Macaca fascicularis: one gene and its partners. The protein of the gene in region 1 interacts with the protein of each later gene in a pairwise test. Links are inferred from orthologs where the notes say so. Each region holds a gene or a part of one and is shown on either strand. Other genes may lie near its edges.

Region 1 (3,750 bases):
CATCTGGTGGCAGGCTTTCAGTCAGAATCCAACACTTATTTTAGTCTGTGCATGGCTCACCCATTATTTTACCACTTCCATCCGCACCTCTTTCCCACACTGTGCACTTGTCTTAGTCACAGTTTTGCTAAGCCCACAAGCTAAGCCTAGCCTAGCCAAAGTGAGTGAAAAACAAACATTACTGGACAGCTTCTTTGAAAATGGGGAAAACCCAATGATGAGACAACAGAAGACTCTAAAACTGCTAAAAAAAATAAAGCCACATTTAAAGGAAAATGCCAAGAGTCCTACTTAAATTACAGGTTCACTGCAACAGGTGGTTCACATTCTCCAACCCTGCTTTGTATAATATGTGATGATCGACTATGCAATGAAGCCTCGAAACCTGCAAAACTGCTTTGCCACATGGAGACCAAGCACCCTGCGTTAAAAGACAAGCCTTTGGAGTTTTTGTTTTGTTTTGTTAAAACAAACAAACAAACAAACAAACAAACAAAAAAACAGAAACCATGAAAACATGAACACAAAGAACACATAGAAGCAATTATTGAAGGCCACCATGTCATCAAATGTGTCTGCACTGACAGCATCATTATATATTACAATGTAACAATAATAGAAATAAAGTGCACAATACATACAATATGTTTGAATCATCCTGAAACCGTCTGCCACTCGACCCTGGTCCATGGAAAAATCCTCTTCCGTGAAACTGGTCCCTGGTGCCAAAAAGGTTGGGGACCACCGGTTTATCCAGGGTCATCCAGGTTGGAGTAGGGTCAGGAGATATGGGGAAATTTAGGCCAAAGAATTCAAAGTTACAAACATGTAGGATGAACAAATGGGAAGACCTAATGTACAACATGAGGGCTATAGTTAATGATCGTGGTATTCAGGATTTATGCTAAATGAGTAAATTAGAGCTGCTCTTGCCCCAAGGGGGGAAATGTGTAATTATAGGAGTTGATGGATATGTCATACACATAACTTAAATACAGACAATAAAAACTATTTTAGTTTAAAAAGGAACAATATTTATTAAAAAATAAGGTGAGCTCTTAAAAACATTTAAATAACTGCCTAAAAAAATAAAAAATAATATCACATAATTTAATAGAAGGAAAGAAAGAGCAAGACAGCAAGAAAGAAAAGGCACCATAAAAAAAAACAATTTTGACCACTCCTCATTTGTAGTCTAAGCTGCCTCTGCTTCCTTGCGTTGAAAAGCCACGGGCTTCCGAGGGATGGAGGTCAAAGTCAGAGTAAAGAAAGTTCCCGGGGGAGGCCACTCCCCAGCTGATGACTTTCCAGTTCCAGTTAGTGACAGAGTCCCAGTTCCTCTCCTTAACCACCGGTCAAAAGTCTCTGGAGTCTCTCCAATGAGCAAGAAAGCAAGTCGGGGGTAGGGGAGGGGCCTCACACCTGGTGGTGGGTGCAGTCCCTCCTCCAGCTTCTTCATCCTGCAATAGTCCCGCGGGTCCCCCGGCGCGAACGCGGGAACCAGGAAAAGGAAACCGCGTTGTGTACGTAAGATCCAGGAAACGAAACCAGTAGCCGCGGCTGTTGGCGCAAGGGTTACTCGCAGACCCTGTTCCGGCTGATTTCCGAGAAGGTTGCGCAGTAGCCGTTCCTTGCAGTCTAGAGGCGCAGGAGAGGAAGCCACCGCCTGACCCCGGCTCTCTAGACCTCGGCTCTCTCGGGAGCGGAAACAGCGGCAGCCACAGGTGCGCGAGCGGCTTTCTCTGCCGCCTCCCCGGGGCTCGGGCGCGAGAACTGCGCGGAGCCTGCGCTGGGGCCAGGGCCGGGATCAGGTGTGGGGGCCAACTTACGGGGAACGGGCGCGAGGGCCAGCCGGTTGTGTTTGCTGCTCTGGGGGTGGAGGATGTGGGGTGAAGGCTGGGGCCAGAAATGCAAGAGACCTCTGAAAGGGACCCTGTAAGTGGAGCAGATGCACGGCAAGGGGCCCCAGGCGGCCCAGCGGCACCTGGGCTCACCCAGAATCATTCGAATGAAAAGGGGTGTCCTGCCTGAAAACGCCTCGCGGGGCTCAGCTTCCCCTTAGCTACACTGCTCTACAGGCAGAGAGCGGCGCTGAATCCTGGGCAGAGACTGGGCTCGGGAGCATGTGCCAGCATAGTGGGGCTATTAGAAGGGACGGTTAATACAGCCTGCAAGCTGGCATTTATCAGTAAGTATTCACTGAAGTCCGCCTGGAGCCCACATCTATGCTAAACCCTCTACAATACTAGCTTGGAAAAGATAGCGGCGGTATCTGGCACGGTTCCTAAGACCATTAGCTCCAGTCAGGCTCCCCGACTTTAAATTTGGCCTCTACTGCTTCACATCTGTGGATTGTCAGCCACTTTCTTAATATATATTCTTTCCATTGCCTCATCTCTGAAATTGTGTAACTATTAAAAGAGCTACAGAGTATTATATGTGTTAATGTAAAGTTCTTAGAGCAGTGCCTGGCACTACAGAAAGTACTCAGTGAAAGTGAGCTTTTATTATTTTAAATATTTGACAAAGTTCCTGCTTCTCCAAGCTGACTCTCCGGTTCCCATGTGGTTTCATTCATGCACTGTTATTCCTGGAAGTCTTGGCATGGCCACTTCCCAGTTCCAGGAACAGGCAGTCGTTGTTTTTTTTCTGGCTTATCACATTGAGATACATGGTTACTACAAGTGACACTTAAACGTGTCAGGCAGTTTGGGGCCTCCTTTCTTGAACTTTTCCTAAGAGCAAACTTTTCCCTTAATGCCACCCGGTTTACAACCATAGTAGGGCTTTGAACAACGAGAAAATGCAGGGAAATGAAAGACATATAAAGGGAAATGAATGGATTTCTGCAGTTGGATAGCAAAGTGGCATGTGAAATAGCTGGTTTATAGATCAAACTGCCTTTAGATCTGTAAAGGAGCTTAGAGTACAGGTGGAGAGACATCAAATGTGTGTGAGCAGACCCTTATGTACCTCTCCGTCTTCATCTCTAAGAATGTCTCCCTCTTCTGCTCTGTAACCTCACTGGTCTTCCTTTCCTTGAATGAGGCATGTTCCTCCAGCTCAGGAATTCTATCTATGAAGTTCCCTGTCTCTATAATGCCCTCCAACACCCCACCCACCATACCTCCGTAGACTAGTTGATTTGAGATTTCCTTCAGCTCCCAGTCTGACTTTTCTTAAACCCCCTACCACTGTTTAAGTTAGTGTCCTGTAACCCTTTCTTGTAGCAACATTAATTTTATTGATAGCACTTAGAGTGTTTATAATAATCTATTACATTCTTAATTGTCTGTCTCCCTAGTGTCTAGGTATTGTGCTCTAGTGCCTGGTATAGTGCTTTGCATGCTCTATGCCTTCAATTAATTCCTTAAAAACCACACCAGCTTTATATTTAGTGAATATTTATATAGGAAGTATTTCTATATGTATATATGTGTATCTGTGTATATACACACTCTATAGCACTACCCTGAATAGTGCTAAATTAAAAAGCCAAAACACTTTTTAGTTAATCAGAACAGTTGCACTCTTCAGTTTTCCATATGTTCTTTTAATAAGTCATTAGAAAAAAATGATGTCTCCATATGTTGTCTGCTGCTGTAGCAGAATACCTGAGACTTGGTAATTTATAAAGGACAGAAATTTATTTCTTACAGTTCTGGAGACTAGGAAGTCCAACATAATCATGTGTTACTTAAAGACAGGAATACATTCTGAGAAATGCATCATGAGGCAATTTGGTGGTTG
Region 2 (3,650 bases), on another chromosome or scaffold:
TTTGGGCAAGTCACTAAGTCACTGTCCAGACTGGGCCCTCAGCCTTCCTGTCTACCCAATGGAGGGTCTTTCTGTCCACCTGGGAACAGCCTGATGGGACTGAAGCACAGCCCTTAGTTTCCAGATGAGAATTCTGGACTGGAGGCCCTGACATTCCAATTGCCAACACTGACTCTGGTGTTTGACAGAGTTTGGGGTACGTGGGAAACATGTGCCACTGGTTAAGGTCCTTAACTTCAGAATTTCCCTCTAGATCAATGCTTTTTAAATCACTACCTCCAACACCACCATCTCCTGTAGGAGCTTTCTGCCTTTTCCAGCATATGCTCCTGATCTGTTACTCAGGCACGCTGGTTATCCCATTTCATAGGTGGACACCTTGAGGCCTGAAGGTTGGTGACTGGCTCTACCTGACACCCCTGTGTGATTCTAGGTTGCCCTTTGCTCCTCTGGGCCTCAGCCTTTCTGTCTATGCAGTGGGGATTTCGGATCGCTGTTGTTCCAGAGTCTGAGACTATAAGGTCTGAGAGGGCCCTTGTGTGGAGTCACCTCTGAGCTGCAGGCAGGATTTCCAGGGCAAGGCCACAGCATCAGTAGGTACCTGTCTTTGGCCTATGAGCCACAGCCTAAGGCATGCCCTTCCTGACCTTGGCCAGATCATGCTAGAGTCCTCCAAGGCCTCCCCTCCCTTGTCCAGCCACCGTCTCTGCTCTACAGGGCTCCACTTTCACTTTCACGCTCCCAGGCTGTGGCTCTTACCCGTGCCGCGCTTTCACATCCGCTCACATCTGTGCTCCCAGATGCCAGCGTGACCCCTGACACGTGTGTGCAGCAGCCTGCAGCTGCCCCAAGCCATGGCTGATCACTGACTCCCAGCTGTGGGGCTTCACCATTACAGACGCCCCGGGGCTTCAAAGACTTCTCAGCTTGGAGCATGGCCTGTTGGGTATCAGGGCAGCTGTATAATAGTGGGTAAGTCACTGGCCTTTCGACTCAGTGTTGTCATCCATCAAATGGACATTAATAATTTCTACAATGAGAGCTCTTAACCCACGTTCTGGGGGTACTTACCTCTGAAGTTTTCTGCCAGTGTGCACATGTGCCCGCATGTGCACACACTCCCAAGCATCTGTTCAGTTCCTGAGTACAAGTGGGGTATTTCTCTTTCATTTGTTCTCAGCAGCTATGGCTTCTTGAAGGACAGAACCTGGGCTCTAAATAGTTCCACCTCCCGCATTCCTGGACCTTGAGTGGGAGGGGCCCAGCCCAGGCTTGAGAACTGCCTCCCTGTGTGGTTGTGGCACCATGGACACTCCTGACTTTCTCAGGGCCCCAATCTTCTGGTGACATAGCTGCTATTCAGACTTTCATCAAGAGAAACATTCTTCTCTTTGTGCATGAAATCTACTGGCGAGACTCAGCAAAACCCCCTGGGATCCCGAGGGTTGTGTGTGAGGCAGGAGATGCTGTGTTTTTTGAGGAATCCTTGAGGTTCCTCCAAGCAGTTTAAAAATCCCTGGGTGGGTGATTCCTCAGGGAGGTTCCATGTTTCTGTGACATCTGGTGAGTCCAGGTGTGGACAATATTTTAAAGTTCCGGTTTCATTCCAGTTTACTAGTTTCAAAAAGATACTTAAGCGTTCAGAGCATATTCCTGTTTGAATGACTCATTAGGATTTTTTAAACTTCAGTTCAGGTAGGAGACACCCTGGGCTGGGTTCAGTGACTGCCCCGGGTTTGGGGCTTGACTTGGTTCTGGTCCATGAGCAGAAACTGCCTGTTCTCCTTTATCCCCAGAGGCGACTTTGACCCTGTTTCCTTTTCTGTAAAATGGAGACAGTGATGCTTCTTTTATAAGGTTGTTGGGAAGGCCATATGAGAGAGTGGGGTCAAGCTGCCCTGGCAACTGCCAAGGCAGGAGCTAGATAGACAGTGGTTACCTCTCCCTCTTCTCCTGTAAATGACCAGCTGTGTTTTTGATGAAGCAGAAAGTTCAAGCAAGAAGACAGGGTGAGAATTGTTACACAGCTAAGTCAAAGGGGCTTTTGGGGTTCCATCTGGCACCTCAGCTTTCAGACTGGGGGGCCGGGATTCAGGGTACTGCCTGATTTCATGTCAGCTCATGCATGGTGTCTGGCATCTTGGAGCCTCCTCTTCTGAACCGTTTTTGTTTTCTTTTTGTTTCCCAGATGTTTGAGACGGAGGCAGATGAGAAGACGGAGATGTCTTTGGAGGAAGGGAAGGGGCCTGGTGCCGAGGATTCCCCACCCAGCAAGGAGCCCTCTCCTGGCCAGGAGCTTCCTCCAGGACAAGACCTTCTACCCAACAAGGACTCCCCTTCTGGGCAGGAACCCACTTCCAGCCAAGAACCACTGTCCAGCAAAGACTCAGCTACCTGTGAAGAATCCCCTCCAGGCCCAGACGCCCCACCCAGCAAGGATGCACCACCATGCCAGGAACCCCCTCCAGCCCAAGACCTCTCACCCTGCCAGGACCTGCCTGCTGGTCAAGAACCCCTGCCTCACCAGGACCCTCTACTCACCAAAGACCTCCCTGCCGTCCAGGAACCCCCCACCCAGGACCTTCCACCCTGTCAAGATCTGCCTCCTAGCCAGGTCTCCCTGCCGGCCAAGGCCCTTACTGAGGGCACCATGAGCTCTGGGGACCCACTAGCAACCACCGGGGACCAACCTGCGGCCTCCAGACCAGCCTTCGTGATCCCCGAGGTCCGGCTGGATAGCACTTACAGCCAGAAGGCAGGGGCAGAGCGGGGCTGCTCAGGAGATGAGGAGGAGGAAGAGGCCGAGGAGGGGGAGGAAGGGGAGGAAGGGGAGGAGGACGAGGATGAGGACACCAGCGATGACAACTATGGAGAGCGCAGTGAGGCCAAGCGCAGCAGCATGATCGAGACGGGCCAGGGGGCCGAGGGTGGCCTCTCACTGCGTGTGCAGAACTCGCTGCGGCGCCGGACGCACAGCGAGGGCAGCCTGCTGCAGGAACCCCGAGGGCCCTGCTTCGCCTCCGACACCACCTTGCACTGCTCAGATGGTGAGGGCGCCGCCTCCACCTGGGGCATGCCTTCGCCCAGCACCCTCAAGAAAGAGCTGGGCCGCAATGGTGGCTCCATGCACCACCTTTCCCTCTTCTTCACGGGACATAGGAAGGTGAGAAAGCTAAACGGGGAGGGAGAAGGATACATGCAATGTGGGGAGGGCTGGCCCAGGGGCTGCAGGGAATGAGCAGTCACCGTGTTCCACCCCCACTGTCCCAGCAGCCTCCCAGCGAACCTTCCACCTGTTGGACAAAAGGTAAAACTGAGGCCCAATGGGACCAAGAAGGCAGAGCCTGGACTTAAACCCATGACTTTAGGACTCTAGATGCTGTGTTCTTATAGCTCCACTGGTCCCCACAGAAAGCAGAACAGGTGTAGCTTAGCCCAGGCCATTGTGTATTTGGATTTAAAAGATCTGAGGTAGTAGCTGGAGAAATAGAGTTACAGCTTAGCCAGGCTAGAAATCCATCAGCCAGTCACAACGACAACACACATTTATTCCATATCCGCATTATCCTAAGCAGTTTACATTAACTCATTAACTCTCACAACGGCCCTTTGAAGTAGATAGTATTTTGGTGCCCATTTTACAGCAGAGG
Region 3 (3,650 bases), on another chromosome or scaffold:
GCCCACGTGCCAGATGTCCACGAGGAGGTGCTGGGGGTTGTGCCCATCACCACCCTGGGCCCCCACAACTACTGTGTGATTCTCGACCCTGTCGGACCGGATGGCAAGAATCAGCTGGGGCAGAAGCGTGTGGTCAAGGTGAGGTCCCTACACCCCCCACAGAGGACTGTCCTGGGAGATGTATGCCCTCTAGTGGCAGGAGGCCCTCTGCCCTCTCTCCCTTCTCCTCCAGAGGCACGTTCTGGGAATACCTTCTGTGCCTTTACACGCTTAGTTCTTACACGCCTGAGACACTGGCCCATTTGGTTCCTGGCAGCCTCTAACTTACCCCTCAGACCTGAAGTTAATTCCCCTTCTGGGAAGGTCTCCTGGCTACCCTCTGCCTGAGACTCTGAAACTCTCTCTGATACAGTCATGTGCCACTTAATGTGGGGATACAGTCTGAGAAATGGTCCTTAGATGATTTTGTCTTTGTGCAAAAGAGTGCACTTATGCAAACCTAGATGGCACAGCCTACTATCACCTAAGCTAGATGGTGTAGCCTGCTCCTAGGCTGCCAACCTGTGCAGCATGTGACTGTCCTGAATACTGCAGGCAGCTGAACACAATGGTAAGTACTTACGTAGCTAGCCATAGAAAAGGTAAGAAAAACACAGTATGAAAGCTTCATTATCGGCCAGCAAGTGGCTCACGCCTGTAATCCCAGCACTTTGGGAGGCCAAGGCACGTGGATCACTTGGGGTCAAGAGTTCAAGACCAGCCTGGTCAACGTGGGGAAACCCTGTTTCTACTAAAAATACAAAAATTAGCCAGGTGTGGTTGTGGGTACCTGTAATTCCAGTTACTTGGGAGGCTGAGGCACAAGAATCACTTGAACCCCGGAGATCAAGCCTGCAGTGAGCCGAGATCGTGCCACTGCACTCCAACCTGGGCGACAGAGTGAGATTATCTCAAAAAAAAAAAGAGCTCCATTATAATCTTACGGGACCACCATGTGCAGTCTGTAGTGGACTGAACCATCACGCAGTGACTATACTTCACATCTTTTATATTCTGGTGTGCACTTTGCTTTGTCATCTTTCGTAAAACAAACCTCTTGGTTTACCCTCTCCCACCCCCTACCTCATCCCCTCTCTGAACTATATGTGGGAATACCAGGAGTTGCCAAACTCATTCTGTAAAGGGGGCTGGATGGTAGATATTCCGGGCTCTGTGAGTCATCGTTTCTGTGGAAGTTCTTCAACTCTGCTGTTATGTCAGGAAAGCAGCATGGGCAGTACGTAAACAAGTGAGTACTGCCATGTTTCTGGAATATTTTATTTGCAAAAACAGGAGGCAGAAAAAGTAGAAATAGGCCAGGCACGGTGGCTTACACCTGTAATCCCAGCACTTTGTGAGCCCAATGCGGGTGGATCACTTGAGATCAGGAGTTGGAAACCATCCTGGCCAACATGGCGAAACCCCTTCTGTACTAAAAATACAAAAAACAATTAGCTGGGCATGGTGTCAGGCACCTGTAAACCCAGCTTCTCTGGAGGCTGAGGCAGGAAAATCGCTTGAACCCGGGAGGCGGAGGTTGCAGTGAGCTGAGATAGCACCACTGCCCTCCAGCCTGGGTGACAGAGAAAGACTGTCTCAAAAAAAAAAAAAAAAAAAAGTAGAAATAACCCAAATGTACATATTTAATGAATGGATAAAAAATTGTAGCATATTCATACAATGGAATATCATTCAGCCATAAGAAAGAAATGGCAGGCTAGGCGCAGCAGCTCGTGACTATAATCCCAGTGCTTTGGGAGGCCAAAGTGGGAGGATTGCTTGAAGCCAGGAGTTCGAGACCAGCCTGGGTAACATAGTGAGACCCCATTTTTACAAAAACTTTAAAAAATTGGCGAGGCACGGTGGCACACCTGTAGTCCCAGGTACTTGGGAGGCTAAAGTGGGAAAATCGCTTGATCCCAGGAAGTGGAGGCTATAGTGAGCTAGGATTGTGCCACTGTACTTCAGCCTGAGGCAATAGAATGAGATCCTGTCTCTAGGAAAAAAGAAAAGAAAAGAAAGAAATGACATACTTATAGGTGATACAACATGGATAAAATTGAAAACGTTATGCTAAGTGAAAGAAGCCGGCCGGATGCGGTGGCTCACGCCTGTAATCCTAACACTTTAGGAGGCTGAGGCAGGCATATCACCTGAGGTCAGGAGTTCAAGACCAGCCTGGCCAACATGGTGAAACACCATCTCTGCTAAAACACAAAAATTAGCTGGGCATGATGGCGGGTGCCTGTAGTCCCAGCTACTGCTCGGGAGGCTGAGACGGGAGGATCCCTTGAACCCGGGAGACAGTTGTTGCGGTGAGCTAAGATCCCACCACTGCACTCCAGCCTGGGCTGCTGAGCGAGACTCCATCTCAAAAAAAAAAAAAAAAAAAAAAGCCAGACATGAAAGACCACATATTGACATATTGCATGATTCCATTTATATGAAATGTCCAGAATAGGTAAACACATAAAATAGACTAGTGATGGGTGGGGTGGGTGGGGAGTAGAAGTAACTTCTAGGTACAGGATTTCTTTTCAGGGTGATGATGAAAATATTCTAGACTTAACATAGTAGTGATGGTTGGACAACTCTGAGTATACTAAAACAACTGAATTGTGAATTGTATACTCTAGGTGGGAAAATTTCATATGTGGATTATATCTCAATAAAATTAAAAAAAAAAAAAAAAAACAGGCAGTGCTGGGCATGATGGCCCACGTTTATAATCCCAGCACTTCGGGAAGTTGAGGTGGGCAGATCGCTTGAGTCCAGGACTTTGAGACCAGCCTAGGCAACATGGCAAAACCCCATCATCTACGAAGCACACAAAAATTAGCTGGGTGTGGTGACGCGCATCTGTAGTCCCAGCTCTTTGGGAGGCTGTGCTGGAAGGATTGCTCGAGCCTGGAAGGTTGAGGCTGCAGAGAGCTGAGATCATGCCACTGCACTCCAGCCTGGCCAATAGAGCAAGACTGTCTCAAAAAAAAAAAAAAAAAAAAAAAAAGGCAGAATCCAGATTTGGCCTGAAAACCAGAGTTTGTTGAGCCCTAGGTTACACCATCTCTAGAAAACAAAGCCTGGGAGAAAGAAGAAAAAACAGGTTGATTTTTTTAATGGTTTAGCGTGCGTGGATCCAGGTTCTGACAGTTTATGGAATCTTTCAAGGACACGTTTGAGCAGATGAGATTCGGCAGACGTTTGTGTAGAGCCTCACAGTCCAGACGGTGCCTCACTGTATTATGATGTGGGGGTGGTGGCGGGCTTCTGGGGCTCCTGTCCTCCACACAGGCCTGAGACAGCGCGGGGCTGGGGAGGTGCCATCGGAGGCACCCGCAACCCTAAAGGCCCTGCCCCTAACCGCACGTCTCCCCACTAGGGAGAGAAGTCTTTCTTCCTCCAGCCGGGAGAGCAGCTGGAACAAGGCATCCAGGATGTATACGTGCTGTCGGAGCAGCAAGGGCTGCTGCTGAGGGCCCTGCAGCCCCTGGAGGAGGGGGAGGATGAAGAGAAGGTCTCACACCAGGCTGGGGACCACTGGCTCATCCGTGGACCCCTGGAGTATGTGCCATCTGCCAAGGTGGAGGTGGTGGAGGAGCGCCAGGCCATCC

What was found.
Region 2: the proteins of PLSCR1 (region 1) and RGS3 interact in binary tests that used the Homo sapiens proteins (3 or more experiments, as listed by UniProt). The two-hybrid records come from large-scale screens. The link is inferred for Macaca fascicularis from reciprocal best matches to the Homo sapiens genes PLSCR1 and RGS3.
Region 3: the proteins of PLSCR1 (region 1) and MVP interact in a two-hybrid assay, tested with the Homo sapiens proteins (2 studies listed by BioGRID and IntAct). The link is inferred for Macaca fascicularis from reciprocal best matches to the Homo sapiens genes PLSCR1 and MVP.

Annotation. Positions count from the first base shown.
Region 1 is NC_088376.1:49,353,531-49,357,280, reverse strand, and holds the start of PLSCR1 (phospholipid scramblase 1), read left to right. Parts: upstream 1-1,583; 5' UTR 1,584-1,724; intron 1,725-3,750. UniProt on the Homo sapiens protein: Catalyzes calcium-induced ATP-independent rapid bidirectional and non-specific movement of phospholipids (lipid scrambling or lipid flip-flop) between the inner and outer leaflet of the plasma membrane resulting in collapse of the phospholipid asymmetry which leads to phosphatidylserine externalization on the cell surface.
Region 2 is NC_088389.1:44,526,706-44,530,355, reverse strand, and holds part of RGS3 (regulator of G-protein signaling 3), read left to right. Parts: intron 1-882; exon of another isoform or gene 883-972; intron 973-2,188; coding exon 2,189-3,163; intron 3,164-3,650. UniProt on the Homo sapiens protein: Down-regulates signaling from heterotrimeric G-proteins by increasing the GTPase activity of the alpha subunits, thereby driving them into their inactive GDP-bound form.
Region 3 is NC_088394.1:28,264,104-28,267,753, reverse strand, and holds part of MVP (major vault protein), read left to right. Parts: coding exon 1-138; intron 139-3,418; coding exon 3,419-3,650. UniProt on the Homo sapiens protein: Required for normal vault structure. Vaults are multi-subunit structures that may act as scaffolds for proteins involved in signal transduction. Vaults may also play a role in nucleo-cytoplasmic transport.